3 linked regions of the Stegostoma tigrinum genome follow. The protein of the gene in region 1 purifies or fractionates together with the protein of each later gene. This does not show direct contact. Links are inferred from orthologs where the notes say so. Each region holds a gene or a part of one and is shown on either strand. Other genes may lie near its edges.

The links. Proteins that work in one complex are often made in the same cells at the same time.
Region 2: the proteins of strn (region 1) and cct3 purify together in Homo sapiens (affinity purification with mass spectrometry; 3 studies listed by BioGRID and IntAct, with this or other methods). This does not show direct contact. The link is inferred for Stegostoma tigrinum from reciprocal best matches to the Homo sapiens genes STRN and CCT3.
Region 3: the proteins of strn (region 1) and ppp2cb purify together in Homo sapiens (affinity purification with mass spectrometry; 5 studies listed by BioGRID and IntAct, counting the BioPlex papers as one, with this or other methods). This does not show direct contact. The link is inferred for Stegostoma tigrinum from reciprocal best matches to the Homo sapiens genes STRN and PPP2CB.

The regions. Positions count from the first base shown.
Region 1 is NC_081357.1:94,950,806-94,958,642, reverse strand, and holds the start of strn (striatin), read left to right. Parts: upstream 1-4,816; 5' UTR 4,817-5,163; coding exon 5,164-5,400; intron 5,401-7,837. UniProt on the Homo sapiens protein: Calmodulin-binding scaffolding protein which is the center of the striatin-interacting phosphatase and kinase (STRIPAK) complexes.
Region 2 is NC_081400.1:3,835,925-3,842,901, reverse strand, and holds the start of cct3 (T-complex protein 1 subunit gamma), read left to right. Parts: upstream 1-3,977; 5' UTR 3,978-4,172; coding exon 4,173-4,200; intron 4,201-4,312; coding exon 4,313-4,374; intron 4,375-5,684; coding exon 5,685-5,735; intron 5,736-6,314; coding exon 6,315-6,377; intron 6,378-6,977. UniProt on the Homo sapiens protein: Component of the chaperonin-containing T-complex (TRiC), a molecular chaperone complex that assists the folding of actin, tubulin and other proteins upon ATP hydrolysis.
Region 3 is NC_081354.1:12,436,523-12,443,832, forward strand, and holds the start of ppp2cb (serine/threonine-protein phosphatase 2A catalytic subunit beta isoform), read right to left. Parts: upstream 3,001-7,310; 5' UTR 2,794-3,000; coding exon 2,692-2,793; intron 1-2,691.

The DNA of each region.
Region 1 (7,837 bases):
AAGTAGTGTTTCCAACAGTTTTATTTTTGCCCTATCTCATGTGTGATCCCTTTCCTTGTGTGATCAACACTGACTGTTTATTAACTATTTTACTGAATTTATGTTTGGAAAGTACTGTAAAGAAAAAATCACATTAAAATGATACATTTCAGGACAGCCATATTTGTTAGCAAGTTTTGAGAAGATTTGTAGCTCAGGTTGAGGTTCTGGATGTAAGTTTGCTTGCTGAGCTGGAAGGCTCGTTTTCAGACGTTTCGTCACCATTCTAGGTAACATCATCAGTGAGCCTCCGGTAAAGCGCTGGTGTTATGTCCCGCTTTCTATTTATCAGCGAGCAAACCCACATCCAGAGCCATATTTGTGTTCAGGACACCCCAAAGTGCTTTACAGCCACCAAAATTTTCTACAATGTGGATACCATTGTATTGCAGTGAATGTAGCAAGCAATCTCAATATACAACAAAGTTCCACCGACAGCAACTTCACAATCACTGGTTAATGTGTTTTTATAATTTTCGGTAAGGCAATATCATTGGCCTGGATATTGAGAACCTCCCTGCTCGTCTTCAACTGGTGGCTTGGGAAATTTTATGACCATCTGAGAGGTGAGACAAGGCATTGGTTTCATTTCTTTTAGTGTAACTATAGCAGTTCTGATAGCGCAGCACTCATTTTGTACTGGATTGGAAGTGTCATCCAAAACTACTTGCTCAAGTATCAAAAGGCGAACATGAAGTTTTGGCCTTCTGTCTCAGATGCTGGACTATTTTTCCTCCAATTTTCACCCTAGAATTTCTCATCTAATTTTGTTGTATTGCCTCTACATTTTCTGTATTTGGGTTGGTTTTATTTTAAATTATTATCCCAATAATTTTCTTTCTTCTCTTCATTTATCCACATTTTCTGCCTGTTGAGCAATGTCTGATCTGTATTGGAGTCATCTGCCTTTTGTACATTTCCTGGTGTACTTTACACCCTGCCCATTCTTCTACCAATTTATCTAGTTTAATTCCATTCTATTCTCATTAATATTGGCTTTTGCCTCAGTTAAACATTTTGATCGTTGGCCGCTCCTTCATCTGTCCAACTTTCAATTCAAGCTTGTATTTTCAATTGGCTCTTACCTACATGTATCCTTACCCTCATCTTACCAAATTGTTTCACTTCAACTTGTTAGTTTGTTTGTGTGTTTGTTTAATTACAACAAAAAGAGAAAATGTCGTAACTGCACACAGGAAATTTAGCATTTATGAATAACTAAGACTTGGCTGATACTGAGGCTAAATGACCTGCTGTGTATTTCTAACACTTTTTATTTTTAGCTTACATTTTCAGCTTTTACAATTTCCTTTCCTCTAGCAAAAATAAAGATAGAAAACATAAGAATATTCAACAATGTATAAACTTCAGGTCTATGATTGTTCATCAAAACAACTTATTCAATTTAACCTGCTACAAACTCAGTTTCACAAATTCTGAATTGTTAAAGAAAGAAAAAAGCTGCCTCTATGTAATATCGTCAGGACCACAGGAGCTCTCAAAATGCTTTAAAGCCAATAGTGGTATGCTATTCAAAAAGGGTGATAGGGATAAACTAGGAAACATCAGGCCAGCATGTGGAACTATTTGAAAACATTCTGAGGGACAGAATTAATCTCCACTCGGAGAGTCTAGGTTTGCCCATACAGCTTTGTCAAGGTAAGATAATGTGTAACAAATTTAATTACATTTTTTGAGGAATTGACTAGGTGTGTAGATGAGAGTAGTGCCATTGATATAGCCTACATAGACTTCAATAACTCTTTTGACAAGCTCTCGCATGGCAGACAAATTAAGAAGCTAAATATCCATGGGATCCGGGGCAATTTGACAAATTGGATCCAAAATTGGCTTAGTTGCTGGAAGCAATGTTTATAAGGCCAGTAAGTTCATAAATGACACAAAATGATATGGTAAATACCAAGGAGCAAAGCTTTAGTCTGCAGGTTAACATACACAGCTCATCAGATGAGCTGAACAGTGACAAAAAGAATTTAGTCCTGAAAAGTGAGATGATGCATTTTGAGACAAATAACAAGGTGACAGAGTACAGGTTTAACCCTCAGAAGTACAGAGCATCAGAGACACCATTAGAGTATCTGTACCTGGATCCTTGAAAGCAATAGGGCAGTAGATAAATATGGATAAGGCATATGGATTTTAGCCTTTGTTTTGAGGCATTATGTACAAGAGCGAGGAGGTCATGATGGAGGTGTGTAAAACATTAATTAGATCACAACTGGAGTGCTATGCGCAGATCTGTGTGCTGCATGAGAGGAACGATCTCATTGCACATGGTGCAGAGAAGATTCACTTGGACGTTGCCTGGGCTGGAGTGATTCAGCTATAAAGAGAGACTAGATAGGCTGAGGTTGTTTTAATTTGAGCAGAGAAGGCTAATGGGAGACATAGTAGAGGTGTTACAAAGTTATGAGGGGCATAGATAGGAAGAAACTTCTCCCATTGGTAGAGGGGCTAATAAACAAAGAACTTAGAAACAAGGTATAGGGCAGGAGGTTCAGAGGGGTTTGGAATTTATTTTCACATCTAGAGCAAACACCTAAAATAGTGGTATAGGAGGGAATTCTCGCAACTTTTGAGAAACATTTGGATGAGCAATTAAAATACTTCAATATAAAAGGCTATGGGCCAAGTGCTGAAAAATGGGATTGGATAGGTGTTTAAAATTTTTGAGAAGATTTGTTGCTTGGGTTTTAGTTCAGGTTGTAGACATGTTTGCCAAGCCAGTGGGTTTGGCTGCAGATGTTTCATCATCCTGCTAGGTAACATTGTCAGTCCATTTCTGGTTAAGCATTGATGTTCTGTTCCACTTGTTATTTATATGCCTCAGTTTGTTGGGTAGTTTGGTACCACTTCTGGTCTGTTTCTCATTGGTTTGTACATCGCATCTAATTCAGTGCATTTGTTATGGGAGTTCCCGTTAGAATACCAGGTCTCCAGGAATTCCCTGGCGCATCACTGTTTAGCTTGTGACATTATGGATGTGTTGTCCCTTGTTGTCAATGTGTAGTGAGACAAGTGAGAAATGGTTGTGTCTATTGGTGGCTAGTTGGTGTTTTTGTATCTGTATTGTCAGTTTTCTTCTGATTTGACCTGGGTTGTGTTTCTCACAGTCCTTGCATGGTATTTTGTATATTACACCAGTTTTGGGTATGGGATCCTTTATGTTTGTAAGTAGCTGTCATCGAGTGGTTGTTGGTTTGTGGACTACTTCGATACCTAGGGGTCTGAGTAATCTTGTGGTCATCTCTGAAACCTCATTGATGTGCAGTAGGGTGACTAGTGAGTCTGGTTGTGTTGTGTCTTCCTGTTGCAGTCTGTTGGTGGATTGTGCTTTTTGAGTATCCAATCCTTTTGAAGACTCTGTATAGATGCTCCTGTTCTGCTTTGTGTAGATCGGGGTTGCTGCAATGTGTTGTATGAAACAGTATCCTGACGCAGCTTTGTTTATGGGTGTTGATATAATTGAGTATCTGGTGCAAATGGGTGGTCTTTCTGTAAACGCAGGTCTGGAGTTCCCCTTTGTGTTTGCGTTCTACCTTTATGTCACTTTACCGATGATAGACAATAGACTTCTGAGATTAAATTGTTCTTTTATTGGCTAACCCAACATTTCACTTTTTGACTCTACACGTCTGGCGACTGACCCTCCATTGGATACAGAAAGATCCTGCCTTTCCCTCCGGAGGTACGAGGGCCTGAGAAAGGACGGCACAGATTTACAGACAATGGGAACTGCAGATGCTGGAAAATCCGAGATAACAAAGTGTGGAGCTGGATGAACACAGCAGGCCAAGCAACATCAGAGGACCACCTATCATGCTGCTTGGCATGTTGTGTTCACCCAGCTCCACACTTCGTTATCAGAGATAATGGGAACTGCACATGCTGGAGAATCCAAGATAACAAAGTGTTCCACAAAAATCACCATGAAGGGTCTAGGCCCGAAACGTCAGCTTTTGTGCTCCTGAGATGCTGCTTGGCCTGCTGTGTTCATCCAGCTCCACACTTTGTTATCGTGGGTTCTCCAGCATCCGCAACTCCCATTATCTCTCTCCACACTGTTATCCGGGCGCAGATTTGCTCATGCGCATTGCGGCTCAGAACCCGACGGCCTGCGCCGTTGCCAGTAGAGGACACGCCCACCATCGAGGACCAGAATGCACATGCGCGATAATAAAATGTGAGGCTGGATGAACACAGCAGGCCAAGCAGCATCTCAGGAGCACAAAAGCTGACGTCTGTCCCGGCACATGCGCGAAACTGGATATCCAGCGCAGGCGCAAAGCTGGTCGGCTTTAAATCAAAAAGCGCAGTTGTGCGGGGAGGTTGAGGCCCTGGGAGGCAGAAGAAGGGTTCGGACGGCGTGACGTCAGCAGCACTAGCGGCTCGCTTGAAGCTGTCGGCGCATGCGTAGATAGGGTCTATGGAGGGGTGGAAATTGATTAAGGATGGGGGCGGGTCCTCAATAGAGGTGGTAAAATCGGAAGTAGCTGGGAAAATTCAGTAGGGCTGGCATCATCTGTGAAGAGAAAGTAATTTTAATGTTTCGGGTCCGATTACCCTTCTTCAGAACTGAAGCCTTGACTCCACAGGTGCTGCCAGACCTGCAGAGTTTATCCAGCACTTTCTGATTTCCAGCACCGCACTGCTTTAGTTTTCCCTTTGGAGTGGAGTGGGGCTCTGAGGAGGACGGGCTAGAGGGATTCAGAATGGGGTCGAGAAAGTTGGGCGGGGTCTAGGGAGGTTGAGAAAAGGTCGAAGTTTGGTGCGGCGGACGCGCATGCGCCGGTAGCAGTGGGTGAGGCAGAGACAGCGGCCAACCGTCAGTGGGTTTGTTTGTGACAGCAGCGGCTTTATAACATCATCATCATCATCATCATCGTCATCAGCAGCAGCTCGATTCAGTCGAGGTCATGGAACGCGCAGAGCGGTTTAAATTTTAACGGCCGGCCCCGCGCGCGCGCGCCGCCGAGCGGCCAGAGGAAGTCCAGGGCCGGTGGACTGACCAAGTACCGGGGCGGCGTCACCGCCACCGCGGTCGTGGTCGTAGCCGCCGGCGTGGAGGCCGAGGGGACGGACGAAGGGTTTTGGGCCCCAGCCATGGACGAACACCCGGGAGCCGGGGTGTTCTTCGGCAATAACTCAGTGCTGAGCGGAGGAGGAGGCGGCCCGGGTATCGGGAGCAGGAACCTGCAGCCGGCGCAGCAACCGGGGCCCGAGGGGGAAGCTCAGAGGCCGCAGTACAACATTCCGGGGATCCTGCACTTCCTGCAGCACGAGTGGGCCCGCTTCGAAATAGAGAGGACGCAGTGGGAGGTGGACAGGGCCGAGTTGCAGGTAAATAACGCACCCCTCGGCCAGGCCGCGCTTCATGCTTGGATACTCGATTGCTGACCACCTCTCCCTGATCAACGGGGTAAGGGGGTGGTGGATACGTTAAGATGGCCGCCTGTCAAAGGAAGGAAGGAGGATAGTGTTGCTTTTTCTTCAAAGACCCTCAACTTTGCAGCTCTTCCCCAGTGACGATGACAGTTTAAATCAGAGGAGCTTTGCAACGACATTCCAAAAATGCCTTCAGTAATATTCTTAAACGGAATTGGGCAAGTTACTTGCAGGGGAAAGTTTGTAGGACCTTTGAAGAAAGAGCAAGTGGTCGGTATCGTTTTGAGTTCTTTCAAAGAGCCAGGACAGGCGCGATGGGTCGAGTAGACTTCTCGGTGCAGCCTGATTGTATGGAATGCTCCAGAAGAAATATGATCAGTTAATTGGCCAGGATTGTCAGTAGTTAAAGGGAGCAAACTTAAAATAGACAAGAGCACCAGAGGGACGAAGAATTTTTTTCTTGAGACAGCCATTTATGATCTAAATGCACCCTCTGAAAGGGGAGGAAGAACAGATTTAGTAGTAGTGGCAGTCAGATAAATACTGGGAGAATGGGGAGATTGCAGAGATATGGCTGAAGACCAGCGGAGTAGAAATAACTAGATAGTTTTGTCAAAGAATTGGAAGTGGAATGATCTGTGTGTTGGGACAACTGCACGGTTAAACAATCATGCACTTTTTGCTCCATCCACTAGCCTTTACCCTCACCAGTCCTGGTGATCCAGCCTGTATGAATTGATCGACATTAACTTGATTCAGCTAGACTGTTGGTTCGTTCTTGAGCAGTTCTGAAGGGCCTTGATTTAAATTGGTTGTACTGGAACAAGATTCAGTATTCTGAATTGAAGGGAGTCACCTTTGGCCTCATTAGAGATTTAAACATCCATGATTTAGCAATTTCTGCCCAGTGTTTTCTGTTGTTATCTATCAATGAATCATTGTAACCAAAGGTTACACAATGACATTCCAAAAGAAACACAGCTGTCCTGAATAGTATAATGTTCTTGGTATAGTCTAAAGGATTCCCCACAACGTAACAGGACAAAAATTGGAGTTTTTGATCATTATACATCAACCAGAGCACCACCTTTTAAAATTATAGTAATTTACACGCCTTGGTCAAGATCTGTGTGACATTCCTGAATTTGGTGTGTCTAATGGCATATCATCATGCCTAACATTATTGTTCAAGACTGCATTTCAACAACTTACATTGTGTCTTGAGTGTAACTTTTTTTAATGTTTAACAGTTGTTAGGAGAAATTGACAAAATTGCAGAAAGGCTTGACAGCATGTTGAAAAGAATTAGACAATGTCTTTTCTCCATTATTATAATAGAATAAACCCAAAGTTGAGATCGTTATGGGATGTGTACCTTGTGAGCTGTCTACCATTTACGTATTATCAAGGAGTAACCATGGGATACTGTTCATGCAGCTGGTTCCATTAATATTTCTGTTGCATTGTTTTAGGAATCTGCAGGATATGAAACACTCCCAGCTTTTTTATTTATACAAATAATGTAAAACCAAAAGGGAAGCTGAGACTTCAGTGTACCCTCTTATACTTGAAATATAATTTACTAAGCTGAATGTTCTGTGGCCGTGGCACTTCAGCATTCATAACCTTTAGCCTACGAAATCTGAATTCTTGAATTATCTATCAACTCAGTATGTGGAAGTATTTCTTCTGAAAGCTACCACTTTCAGTACCTTTAACATATCCCCACTGCTTTCCTGTTGCTGATTTCCCCCTTGAGTTTCTCTGACTTGTTATTGAAGCTAAGATTTTTTAAACAATTACCTATTGAAATGTCGGTAAAGTGCTTACTACAGCAACTAAAGCTACATGAACTTATATAGAACCTTTTAAACATTTTAAGGTGATTTGCAGGAGCAAATACCCTCATGGGGATATTGGGGTAGATGGCAACAAGCTTGGTTAAAGAAGGAGCATCTTAATGGAGGAGAGAGAGGTACTGTACTTTAGGGAAGGAATTCCAGAGGTTTAGGACCTCTGAGATATACCATGGGCCACAGTTTTGAATTACTGCACATTTTTAAATAGGGTAAAAAGTGGAGCTAGGATTGTAATATGTTGGCAAAATATAGAAGTAACATGAAGGTTTCAACAGAACGTGAGTTCAATTAGGCGATGCTAGAGTTGGAAATAAACAATTGTATTGATGGTATGGCTATGTAATTGGAATCTCATCTTGGTTAAAATGACAGGTTTACGTGTTCCCTGGTTCAGACTCTGGCAGCTGTGGGGGAAAAGAATGGAGTTTTTGGTGGGAGCAGAAACACCATGCTGCTTCCAATAAATTATAAATTTCAATCTTATGGTAACTTTTTACAAGGTGCTAATGAGACCCTAGCTGGTATACTGAGGG
Region 2 (6,977 bases), on another chromosome or scaffold:
TAGGCCCGAAACGTCAGCTTTTGTGCTCCTGAGATGCTGCTTGGCCTGCTGTGTTCATCCAGCCTCACATTTTATTATCTTGGAATCTCCAGCATCTGCAGTTCCCATTATCTCTGATACTATGGAAATTCAGCATGTTTGCAATAACTCTTACCAATTTTGATAGGTGCACCATAGAAGAAATTCCATCTGGATACATAACAGCTTGGTATGGCAACCGCTCTACCCAAAACAACGCAAAATGACAGAAACAAAGTTGCTGGAAAAGCTCAGCAGGTCTGGCAGCATCAGTGAAGGAGGAAACAGGGTTAACATTTTGAGTCCAATGATTCTTCCTCAGAACTGATGGTGGCTGGAAAAACGTCAGTTTATAGGCAAAAAGTAGGGAGGGAGGTGGGTGGGGTGGGGAGTAAATGATAGAACAGAGCCCAAAGAGAGAGAAAGACAGTTGGACAGACAAAGGAGTTGCTAATGATCAGGTGGGAAGGTGAATAGTTGTTAATGGGGACTCTTAATGACTAACAACAGGGGGTGTGTAATGGCAGGCTATGTAGTAACAAGGGTTGGTGTGTGGTAGGAAGCTGGAACATGGGAGAGTTTAGGTCCTAAAATTATTAAACTCAATATTTGGTCTGGAGGGCTGTAGGGTCCCCAAGCAGAAAATGTGGTGTTGTTCCTCCAGCTTGTGTTGGGCTTCACTGGAACACTGCAGCAAGCCAGAGACATAGATATTGGCCAGGGAGCAGGATGGTGCATTGAAGTGGCAGGCAACAGGTAGTTCAGGGTCTTTTTTGCGAGCAGAATGTAGGTGTTCGGTGAAGCGGTCACCAAGTTTACACTTCATTTCCCCAATGTAGAAGAGCCCACATTGTGAGCAGCGTATGCAGTAGACTAGACTCTGGGAAGTGCGGGTGGGAAGGTATGTTTGGGCTCTTGGATACTGGAGAAAGAGGTGGTAAATCGGCAGTTGTTGCACCTTTGTCGGTTACAGGGGAAGGCACTGTAGGGCTGTGGGAAGGTGTCGGGGGTGAAGAAAATGTGGACCAGGGTGTCCCGGAGGGAACGGTCCCTGCGGAAGGCGGACAAGGGAGGGGAGGGGAGGGGAATATGTGCCTGGAGGTAGCATCTTGCTGGAGTTCGGGGAAATGGCATCTGATGATCTACTGATGTGGATGCTGGTGGGATGGTAGGTGAGGATAAGGGGAACCCTATCGCTGTTGCGATAGAATTTGTGAATGCAGTCCAATCCATCCCAAAAACCAGCCTTCCTTCCACTGACTCCGTATACGTTTCCCTCCGCTTTGGGAAACCAGCCAACATAATCAAATACCCCTCCTAACCCAGTTTTACTCTCTTCCACCCTCTTCCATCAGGCAAAAGATACAAAATTTAAGAATAGCTTCTTCCCCACCATCATCAGACTCATAAACGAACCTCTCATATATTAGAGTTGATCTTTCTGTGGATCTTTTCTGCAGCTGTTACACTATATTTTGCATTCTGTTCTCTAACCCTGATATACTAATATAATGTATGATTTGTCTGGTTAGCATGCAAAGCAATACTTAGATTCTGAGGAAGGGTCACTGGACCTAAAACATTATCTCTGTTTTTTCCTTCACAGATGCTGCCAGATCAGCTGAGTTTTTCCAGCAACTTTGTTAATTGCTCCACTTTTCACTGTATCTTGGTACATGTGACAATAGTAAAGTCAAATCAAAAGTTTGCTGACTGAGGAGGGGACAGTTGAGGAGGTTGGTCTTATACCCATCGCGCTGTGATCTTATCTGGAACATACAATTTTCTGCGGTAACACAGTGTGGGACTGGAGCAGCACAGCAGTCCAGGCAGCTTCAGAGGAGCAGAAATGTTGATGTTCTGGGTCAGGGCTCTTCTTCAGAGAAATTTTCTGGGGTTCTTGATAGGATAAACGTGGAAAAGTAGTTTGTCGTCATGGGACGGTCTAGGATCAGAGGGTATAAAAAGGGGTTGCACAGAGATGGGGAGGAATAGCTTCCTTTAGGCAGGAGTGAACCTGTCAAATTCTTTACCACAGAAGGCCGTGGATCGATAAGAATATTCAATATTGAGATGGACGGATTTTTAATCTGTAAGGGAATCAAGTGTTATGGGGAAAAGGTAGGAAAATGGCGTTGAACATGACCAACTCAGCCACAGAGTCATCCATCATCCAAACACACCCTTGGGTCCAACACGGTGTCCCCTGCCCCTAAGCTCCGCCCTTTCCAGTCTGGGTCAGGGCTCTTCTTCAGAGAAATTTTCTGGGGTCCTTGATAGGATAAATGTGGAAAAGTTGTTTGTCGTAGAGGGTATAAAAAGGGATTGCACAGAGATGGGGAGGACCCCACCGACTCCCACAGCTACCTAGAATACACCTCCTCCCACCCACCCTCCTGCAAAAATTCCATCCCCTATTCCCAATTCCTCCGCCTCCGCTGCATCTGCTCCCACAATAAGACATTCCACTCCCGCACATCCCAGATGTCCAACTTCTTCAAGGACCGCAACTTTCCCCCCAACAGTGATCGAGAACACCCTTGACCACATCTCCCGTATTTCCCGCAACACATCCCTCACACCCCGCCCCAACCACAACCACCCAAAGAGGATCCCCCTCGTTCTCACACACCACCCCACCAACCTCCGGATACAACGCATCATTCTCCGACACTTCCACCATCTACAAACCAATCCCACCACCCAAGACATTTTTCCATCCCCACCCCTGCCTGCTTTCCGGAGAGACCACTCTCTCCGTGACTCCCTTGTTCGCTCCACACCGCCCTCCAACCCCATCACACCCGGCACCTTCCCCTGCAACCGCAGGAAATGCTACACTTGCCACCACACTTCCTCCCTCACCCCTATCCCAGGCCCCAAGATGACTTTCCATATTAAGCAGAGGTTCACCTGCACATCTGCCAATGTGGTATACTGTATCCATTGTACCCGGTGTGGCTTCCTCTACATTGGGGAAACCAAGCAGAGGCTTGGGGACCGCTTTGCAGAACATCTCCGCTCGGTTCGCAACAAACAACTGCACCTCCCAGTCGCAATCCATTTCCACACCCTCTCCCATTCTTTAGATGACATGTCCATCATGGGCCTCCTGCACTGCCACAATGATGCCACCCGAAGGTTGCAGGAACAGCAACTCATATTCCGCCTGGGAACCCTGCAGCCCAATGATATCAATGTGGACTTCACCAGTTTCAAAATCTCCCCTTCCCCCACCGCATCCCAAAACCAGTCCAACCTGTCTCTGCCTCCCTAACCGGTTCTTCCTCTCACCCATCCCTTCCTCCCACCCCAAACCGCACCCCCCGCTACCCACTAACCTCATCCCACCTCCTTGACCTGTCCGTCTTCCCTAGACTGACCTATCCCCTCCCCACCCCCCCATACTCTCTCCACCTATCTTCTTTTCTCTCCATCTTCGGTCCGCCTCCCCCTATTTATTCCAGTTCCCTCCCCCCATCCCCCTAATCCCCCCCTATCCCCCCATCCCCCCCTATCCCCCCCTATCCCCCCATCCCCCCCTATCCCCCCCTATCCCCCCATCCCCCCATCCCCCCCTATCCCCCCATCCCCCCATCCCCCCCTATCCCCCCATCCCCCCATCCCCCCCTCTGATGAAGGGTCCAGGCCCGAAACGTCATCTTTTGTGCTCCTGAGATGCTGCCTGGCCTGCTGTGTTCATCCAGCCTCACATTTTATTACCCAGCCCCAAAGGCGTTCCCTGCATAATCCCCGCCCACTGAGACGCATGCGCTCATCCCCTCCGCCCACCAACGTGGCTCCACCTCTTACACCGCTCTCGTCCCTGCCAGTCAGCCCATCCGTCACCCACCATTGGCCTACCTCCTGGATCTATTCCCGCCCCTTCCCCTTCTCTCCCGCAAGCGGTTCCAACCGTCCCGCACGAGGAGCCGGGTGCAGTCAAACTCACCCAACAGCCTCGGACGGAACGGAAGCCCCGCCTTTTCTTTCCTGCGATTGGAGGGTCGCGGCGATACCGGGGTGGTGATTGGCTAAGGGTGACCGTCAATCCTGCGTGTCGGCTAGCGGGACGGAGCAGCAGGTTTGGTTGCGGGGCCTATCGTGAGGCAGCAGAAGGTTCCAGAAAAAGAGACAGAAAGAAAGATTGAAAAATGTTGGGACGGCAAGTGTTGGTTTTAAGTGAGTGGCTCAAATCAGATCGTGATTATTCATTTGGTGCCTTTATGAATTTCTGTTAATAAACTCCGTTATTGCCATCCGTTTTAATTAAAAAAAATCTCCTCTTCCCCAGGTCAGAATGTGAAACGGGAGTCCGGCCGTAAAGTCCAACAGGGCAATATTAACGCAGCGAAGGTGAGGAGGAGGCCTGGAGCTCGGGCACACGGACTACTCGAGCGCCGAGGCTGCAGCCCGGGCCTAGGCCTCTCCTCCACCGGGTGAACGGTGGTGGGAGAGTCGGGCGGAACACGGCAGCTAGGAGCCTTTTACTGGGGTCTCGATGTGTTTGACGAGGCTCAGGACCTTTTATTGGGTCCGTATGGGGCTTAGGACCCTTTTATTGGCTCTTGATGGGGCTCAGGTGCAACTTCTTTGGGTCTGAAAGGGCTTAGGACCCTGTTATTGGCTCTTGATGGAGCTCATAGGCCTTTTTATTTGGTCCAAATGGAAATCTGGAGTATTTTATTGGGGCCCCAGAACCTATTATTGGCGGTTTCTTAGGGATCATGGTCCCTTTGTATTGTATCTCAATAGGATCTCAGGATTTCTCTGGATTTAAATGGGGCTCTGGGGGTTTTATTATTGATCTATCGGGATCTGCAGTCCATAGAACATAACAGCACAGTACAGGCCCTTCGGCCCTCTGTGCCGACCTGTCATACCAAATTGAAGCCCATCTAACCCACACTATTCCATGTACGTCCATTTTATTCTTGATCCAAATTGTGCTCTGGATTGTTTTGAGTTTAGCTGGTTGCTTGGGATGATTTCCTTGTGAGACTCAATGGGGGTGGGGAGGGTCAGGATTTTTTTTTCTGGGCCTCTGTGGTGGTCAAGGCCATTTGTGGAGTTGCCATGGGACTTGAGATCTTTTGTGCGGCCCAAAAAAAAGGGCCTTGGGACACTGGTGTCAGCATATAGCCCTAAATTGTGAGCTGGAGGGATGTTCTCGATTACATCAGAGATAAAGGGTCTAGGCCTGAAACATCAGCTTTTCTGCCTGCTGTGTTCATCCAGTTCTACACTGTGTTCTCAATTGCTTTGGTTTTCATCCCCCTGCCTTTAAGTAGACAGGTCAGTGACATCCAGAAAGCACCAAGTCAGCCTGAAATAGCAAGAACTGCAGGAACTGGTGTCAAAGAAAGCAGTGTGGAGCTGGAGGAATACAGCAGGCCAGGCGGCATCAGAGGAGCAGAAAAGTTGACGTTTCGGGTAGGGACCTTTCTTTAGAACATGAGAAAGGGTACTGACCCGAAATGTCAACTTTCCTACTGATCTGCTGTCTGGCCTGTTGTGTCCCTCCGGCTCCGCAGAGTGTTATCACCAAGTCAGCCTGAGGTTGTTTTCCTAGTAAAACCCAAGTAAAGGATCTCCAAAAATATTGCTCAGTACTAGTCAACAGCCCTGTTATTGGCACCTGATGTTTTTATGGTTATATTTTTCAGACAATTGCGGACGTTATTCGAACATGTTTGGGACCAAGGGCAATGATGAAGGTACAGAAATTAACGTTGGCGTGTTAGACTGGTGTTTTGCAGCAACCTACCAAGATGACACCATGTTGGGTTAATTATAAATGGACTGGGTGGGACTTGGAGTCGTGTGTGAAGCGATTGATATTGACTGATGTTATGCAAATATGCTGACAGCCACAGCTGCAGCTCCAGTCTTTAAAGAGTAATGGGATAATTTAAGTTGAAGGGGGAAGATTTAGAATCATATGGCATGGAAACAGATCCTTTGGTCCAGCTAGTCCACGCCTACCATGTTCCCTAACTGAACTAGGCCCACCGGCCTCCGCTTTGCCCATATCCCTCTAAACTTTTCCTGTTCACGAACTTAAACAAATGTCTTTTAAATGTAACTGTGCCCCCACACGCTACTTTCTTTGGCAGTTTATTCCACACATGAACCACTCTGCTTAAAATAAAGTTGCCTCACATGTCCTTTAATAAATTTTTCTCCTCCTCGCTTTAAAAATATCCCCCCAGACCTGCATTTGAAGTTAAACAGCAGGAGCTCATTAGTGTAGTATTGAAATTAATGTGATGTAATTTACCCCCCACCCCCAACAGATGTTGCTGGATCCCATGGGTGGCATTGTCATGACGAACGACGGGAATGCCATTTTGCGAGAGGTAGGTGTGGTTTCACCTGTACGAGCATTAGGAATCTGTTCGAGTGTGCGGCTTCTCATTCTCCTTCACTCAAAATACCTTGACATAAGTGTGTTTGGCATAAGTGACAGCTTTGTAGTTACTAAGATTATATCTCTATTTCGCTGATTTGTTTAATTTGAACTTCTGGCTTTGGAGCCATGGCATGCTGAGTCAAGATCTGTTTGTATCATCAACTCGTGCCATGCAGATGTAGGAGAGCATTGATTTAAAACTGTCGACCTGTCTGTGAAACTCCCATTAGATGAACCTATGTAATCTAGTTCAGATTTGTGAAGAGGTTTTAATAGACGTGATTAATCGGTCCTACTGGTGGTCTGGTGATCTGAGATCATTTTCAGTAAAGTCAAGATAGTCTGGAGAATGTTTTGACGCACCTAGTTACTGCGATTTGGAACTGTCTGAAAGGGTATTAGAAACACCTTTCAATAGAAAGTTCCAACAGGGAGAATCAAATAAATACTTGAAAAGAATCGCAGTGTTGTTGGGGAGGATGTAGGACAAGTTGGATAGAATTTTCAGTGAGTTGGCACAGGCACGGTGGACTGAATGGCCTTGTGT
Region 3 (7,310 bases), on another chromosome or scaffold:
TTCCTCATGAGCAAAACTGTTCTTGGGACCCTTTTGTTTTTAAAACCGTGACTGAAACAGCAAATTATGATTTAATCTAATTAAGGTAATAGTGACGAAGGATGCTGTAGGTTGCTGAGAGACATAGATAAGCTGCAGAGCTGGGCTGAGAGGTGGCAAATGGAGTTTAATGCAGACAAGTGTGAGGTGATGCACTTTGGTAGGAGTAACTGGAGGGCAAAGTACTGGGCTAATGGTAAGATTCTTGGTAGTGTAGATGAGCAGAGAGATCTCGGTGTCCATGTACACAGATCCTTGAAAGTTGCCACCCAGGTTGACAGGGCTGTTAAGAAGGCATACAGTGTTTTAGTTTTTATTCATAGAGGGATCGAGTTCCAGAACCAAGCGGTCATGCTGCAGCTGTACAAAACTCTGGTGTGGCCACACTTGGAGTATTGCGTACAGTTCTGGTCACCGCATTATAAAAAGGACGTGGAAGCTTTGGAAAGGGTGCAGAGGAGATTTACTAGGATGTTGCCTGGTATGGTGGGAAGGTCTTATGAGGAAAAGCTGAGGGACTGGAGGCTTTTTTCGTTAGAGAGAAGAAGGTTGAGAGGTGACTTAATTGAAACATATAAAATAATCAGAGGGTTAGATAGGGTGGATAGGGAGAGCCTTTTTCCTAGGATAGTGACGGCGAGCACGAGGGGGCATAGCTTTAAATTGAGGTGTGAAAGATATAGGACAGATGTCAGAAATAGTTTCTTTACTCAGAGTGGTAAGGGAATGGAACACCTTGCCTGCAATGGTAGCAGATTTGCCAACTTTAAGTACATTTAAGTCATCATTGGACAAGCATATGGACGTTCATGGAATAGTGTAGGTTAGATGGGCTTCAGATCGGTATGACAGGTCGGCACAACATCGAGGGCCAAAGGGCCTGTACTGTGCTGTGCTGTTAGGTTCTATGTTCTATGTAGGTATCAGTCTAAAGTGATGGGTTGTTAGTCTGTAAATTCTCTTCAAAGAGTGGAGTGAAATTATTCAAGATTAAGTTAGATTTTCGATAAACAAGGGAGTTAACAGTTTCACAGTGCAGGCAGGGAGATAGAATGAAGAAAGACTTTTTGCATGCCAAAGCAGGATGAAGGGCTGAATGGCCTAGTCCTGCTTTATGTCTGCTGTCATTTTACAGCAAAATACTTTATGGCATGGTTAAAACTGACCATGGGAGAGGCTGCGACAGTGTGGCAAAGAAGCAAGAGATGCTGCTGTGTGGAATAATAAAGAGATTGAGGCATACTGAGACTGTGTCTAAATACAGGCAGACCCCAGTTGCAAAAAAGTTCCACGTGGAGTCCACTCAGTTTGATTTGTATGCATGTCAGAACGCAATGCAGGAAATATAAAACTAGCCACTCATAAGTACAGGAAAGATTCCTACATCTGTCAGATCTTTAAAAATTACACCTTTTTTGACTGCATTTGATAGAATATTCATAAATTCAAGGCCTGTTGCACTTGTATTGGGAGAAGGGGGATGAAAAAGTCACAAGAGTGGTAGAGAACTCTTGACATTACACAGTCTTAGTAGAGCACCTTATTAGAGGCCATCATGCCTCAGACAAGCAAAGAGACTGAGAACGAGAGTCCATCATAACCTCAGGTGACATGAAAATTGGACGTAGCACTGATGTCACACTTTGCCACAATCCAGTCTGCCAACTGAGCTAACCGACCTCATGACAAAGCAGAAGAAACATATTCAAACCATCATGTCTCCGCCTCCATTCAATCAGATCAGGTTTATGTGAATCATTGTCTCCACTTTCCCACCTTTTACTCATAAATTAAAAATCTGTCTCAGCATTGAATAAACCTAACTCAGTCTCAATAGGTCTTTGTGGTAAAGAATGCCAAGATTCTTACTTAACTGCATAGAAGAAATTCCTCCTCAACCCACTTTAAATGTGTGACGATTTCTTTTAAGATCAATCCCTTTAACCCTACCACAAGGGGAAACAACCTTTCGACATCTACTCTGTCAAGTCTTCCAAGAATCTTTTATGCTTCAAAACTATTGCCTCCCATTTTTCTAAATTCCAACCAGTACAGGCCCAAACCTACTGAAGCGCTCCTACTAAGTCAATGCCTCTGTATCAGGTAAATGATGAGCGTTTAAAACGCCATGGTATGTATACAAGACGACAGGAAAGGTGCTGGAGATGCTTGGCAAACAGTGCGGGCACATCGAGCTGAAGGGGCTTTATCCAGGCTGTAAGATTCAATCACATGTCAAAGTCTACAACTTCCTGCAAGAAGAGTCAGGGCAGCTGGAACACATGAAAAAGGAGGAGGATGGGGTGGAGCTGGAATGGGGCAAGTAAGTCCGGGGACTGGGATGAAAGGAGGGAGGGGCGGATATGGATGAAGAGAGAGTTGGGGGGGGGAAAGAGGCGATGAAGAGGGCTTTGAGGGCATATAAAGCTCCACCTTGGACCCGCCCCCTGAGCGGAAGTGGCACCGGACCGGAAGTTCCGCCCGGTCAGGCGGGTGGGGCGGAGCCGAGCCGAGCCGGGGAGAGCGGCCGAGCCACTGGTCTCACTATTTGGCAGCGGCGGAAAGGCCGACTCTGTCGCTTAAACCCAGGCGGGGATTCTGTCTGAAATCGCATCGAGAATAAAACTGTTGGCCTTGGCGCTCCCCACATACCTTCTCGCAGAGGGTCCGCACTTGGTTCTCGTTGAGTTGCTTGCACTCGTTCAGCTGCTCGATCCAATCGTCCAGCTCCTTGGTGAACGCCTTATTATCCATAACTATCGGGAACGGTTTTTTTTTTAAAAATTATCAGACAGGGTGTTGAGGTGAAAAGGAAAATTTAAATAAAAAGTCTTGGGTGGGAGGGGGAATCGGGAGGTTAAAATTTTGATCATAAATAAGTTACATGGGTTCGGAACCCCTGAGAAGCTCGGCGCCGTCCGTCACTGTGAGAGTGAGAGGGAGAAAAAGCGGCGCGCGTGTCCGCAAAATCGCGCGCGCACGCACGCACCGACGTAATTCACGTTCCCGCGGCGCGTGACTGAGGAGGCGAAGCGCGCCCGCGAGGTCGGGCGGCGGTTGGAAGCCCGTTTGAATGGGTGCGCGAGCGAAGACAGTTGCCTTTATTTGTCACGCCCCTTATGTACCACGTGGTGTGGCACGTTCGGCCCCTTGCAGACAGACAATAGACAATAGGTGCTGTAGTAGGCCATTCGGCCCTATCGAGCCAGCACCACCATTCATTATGATTATGGCCGATCATCCACAATCAGTATCCTGGTCCTGCCTTATCCCAGTAACCCTTGATTCCACTATCTTTAAGAGCTCTATCCATCTCCTTCTTGAAAGTGTCCAGAGAGTTGGCCTCCACTGCCTTCTGGGCACAGCATTCCATATATCCACCACGCTCTGAGTGAAGAAGTTTTTCCTCAACTCAGTTCTAAATGGCCTACCCCTTATTTTTAAACTGTGTCCTCTCGTTCTGGACTCACCCATCAGCGGAAACATGCTTCCTGCCTCCACAGTGTCCAATCCCTTAATAACCTTATATGTCTCAATCAGATCCCCCCTCATCCTTCTAAACTCAAGTGTGTACAAGCCCAGTCGCTCCAATCTTGCAACATACAATAGTCCCGCCATTCTGGGAATTGACCTCGTGAACCTACACTGCACTCCCTCAATAGCAAGAATATCCTTAAACTTGGAGACCAAAACTGCACACAATACTCCAGGTGCGGTCTCACCAGGGCCCTGTACAGCTGCAGAAGGACCTCTTTGCTCCTATACTCAATTCCTCTTGTTATGAAGGCCAGCATGCCATTAGCTTTCTTCACTGCCTGCTGTACCTGCATGCTTGCTTTCGCTGACTGATGTACAAGAACACCCAGATCTCGTTGTGCTTCCCCTTTACCTAACTTGACTCCATTGAGATAGTAATCTGCCTTCCTGTTCTTGCCACCAAAGTGGATAACCACACATTTATCCACATTAAACTGCATCTGCCATGCATCCGTCCACTCACCTAGTCTGTCCAAGTCACCCTGTATTCTAATAACATCCTCCTCACATTTCACATTGCCACCCAGTTTTGTGTCATCAGCAAATTTGCTAATATTACTTTTAATGCCTTCGTCTATATCATTAATATATGTCGTAAACAGCTGCGGTCCCAGTACCGAACCTTGTGGTACCCCACTGGTCACTGCCTGCCATTCCAAAAGGGACCCGTTTATCACTACTCTTTGCTTCCTGTCAGCCATCCAATTTTCAATCCAACTCAGTATTTTGCCCCCAATACCATGTGCCCTAATTTTGTTCACCAATCTCCTATGTGGGATTTTATCAAAGGCTTTCTGAAAGTCCAGGTACACTACATCCACTGGTTCTCCCTTGTCCATCTTCATAGATACATCCTCAAAAAATTCCAGAAGATTAGTCAAGCACGATTTCCCCTTCGATGCCACGTGATGTACGGAAACACGGAGTCAGCCATTCATTGTAGGCATAGCTGGATGTCTAAGATAACAAAGTGTGGGGCTGGATGAACACAGCATCCTAGGAGCACAAAGGCTGACATTTCGGGCGTAGACACTTCATCAGAAAAGGGGGAGGGGGAGAGGGTTCTGAAATAAATAGGGAGTGGGGAGGTGGATCGAAGATGGATAAAGGAGAAAATAGGTGGAGAGGAGATAGACAAGTTGAGGCCAGATGCCAGCTCTCTGACACCTCCTCCTACCGCTCCCTGGATCATGACCCCACCCCTGAGCACCAAATCGTCATCTCCCAAACCATCCACAACCTCATCACCTCAGGTGACCTCCTATACATAGCCTCCAACTCATTGTACCCCAACCCCACACCGCTCGCTTCCGTCTCCTTCGCAAATTCCACAAACCCGCCTGCCCTGGTCGACCTATTGTCTCCGCCTGTACCTGCCGCACCAAACTCACCTCCACTTAAGTGGACTCCATTTTCTGCTCCTTGGCCCAGGAACTCCCTACCTACGTCCGTGACACCACCCACGCCCTCCACCTCCACCAGAACTTCCAATTCTCTGTTCCCCAACACCTCATTTTCACCATGGACGCCCAGTCCTTATACACCTGCATTCCCCATGCAGATGGCCTAAAGGCCCTCCGCTTCTTCCTGTCCCACAGGCTCAGCCAGTCCCTCTCCACCGAAACCCTCATCCGCTTCACCCTCAACAACTTCTCTGTTGATCCCTCCCACTTCCTACAGGCAAAAGCAGTGGCCATGGGTACCCATATGGGCACAAGCTGTGCCTGCCTCTTTGGAGGTTATGTGGAACAATCCCTCTTCTGCACCTACACTGGCCCCAAACCCCACCTCTTCCTCCATTGCATTGATGACTGTACTGGGCCGCCTCGTGCTCCCATGAGGAACTGAAACAGTTCATCCACTTCACCAGCACCTTCCATCCCAACCTCAAGTTCCCCTGGACCATCTCCAACACATCCCTCGCCTTCCTGGACCTGTCTGTCTCCATCTCCAGCAACTACCGAGAAACTGATACCCATTTCAAGCCCACCGACTCCCACAGCTACCTAGAATACACCTCCTCCCACCCACTTTCCTGCAAAAATTCCATCCCCTATTCCCAATTCCTTCGCCTCTGCTGCATCTGGTCCCAGGATGAGGCATTCCCCTCCCGTACATCTCAGATGTCCTTGTTCTTGAAGGACCACAACTTATCCCCCACAATGGTTGAGAACACCCTCGAACGTGTCTCCCACATTTCCTGCAGCTCATCCCTCACACCCTGCCCCCGCAATAACGCCAAAATAAAATCCCCTTCATCCTCGCATACCACCCCACCAGCCTCCTGATCCAACACATCATCCTCCAACACTTCCACCATCTGCAATCTGACCCCACCTCCAAAGACATTTTTCCATCCCCACCCTTGTCTGCTTTCCAGAGGGACCACTCTCTCTTTGACTCCCTTGGCCCTTCCACACTCCCCTCCCACCCCTCCACACCCAGCACATTCGCTGCAAAGGCAGAAAGTGCTACACCTGCCCCCACACCTTCTCCCTCAACCACATCCCAGGCCCCAAGATGGCTTTCCACATCAAGCAGATGTTCACTTACATATCTGCTAATGTGGTATACTGCATCCACTGTACCCGTTATGGCTTCCTCTACATCGGGGAAACCAAGCAGAGGTTTGGGGACCGCTTTGCAGAACACCTACGCTCGGTTCGCAATAAACAACTGCACCTCCCAGTCGCGAACCATTTCAACTCCACCTCCCATTCCTTAGACAACATGTCCATCCTGGGCCTCCTGCAGTGCCACAATGATGCCACCCAAAGGTTGCAGGAACAGCAACTCATATTCCGCTTGGGAACCCTGCAGCCCAATGGTATCAATGTGGATAGCACAAGTTTCAAAATCTCTCCTCCCCCTACTGTATCCCAAAACCAGTCCAGCTCATCCCCACCTCCCTAACCTGTTCTTCCTCTCACCTATCCCCTCCTCCCACCTCAAGCCGCACCTCCATCATCCGCCCCCTTGACCTATCAATCCTCCTGGGCTGGCCTATCCCCTCCCTACCTCCCCACCTGCACTCACCTGTAAATGGTCCATCCCCGCCCCTTCAACTTGTCTGTCTCCTCTCCACCTATCTTCTCCTCTATCCATCTTTGATCCACCTCCCCCTCTCTCCCTATTTATTTCAGAACCCTCTCCCCCTCCCCCTTTTCTGATGAAGGGTCTAGGCCCGAAACGTCAGCTTTTGTGCTCCTAAGATGCTGCTTGGCCTGCTGTGTTCATCCAGCTCCACACTTTGTTATCTTGGATTCTCCAGCATCTGCAGTTCCCATTATCTCTGATAGCTGAATGTCTAACTGAATGCTCTGTTCACGCTTTCTCCCCATACTCTTTGGTCCCTTTATCCCTGTCAATTGCATCTAACTCCTCTGTGAAAACAGTTGATGTTTTGGCCTCAACTGCTTTGTGTGGTAGTAAAGCCATTTAATCTCAGTTCTAAAAGGCTTATCTTGTACCCTTAGACTGTTGACACCCTTTGCTCCATTCACTATGTCCATCTGTACCCTGTGACACCCCTTTTAGACTATACGACATTGGAGTAGAAGTTATGCCATTTAGCCTATCGAGTTTGCTCCATCATTCCATCATGGCTGATAAGTTTCTCAACCCATTCTCCCCATAACCCTTGATCTCCTTGACAATCTCACCCGTCACATCCTCCTGTACCCTGTGACATCCCTTTGCACACCTATCATGTCCTTGTGTACGCTGTGACACCC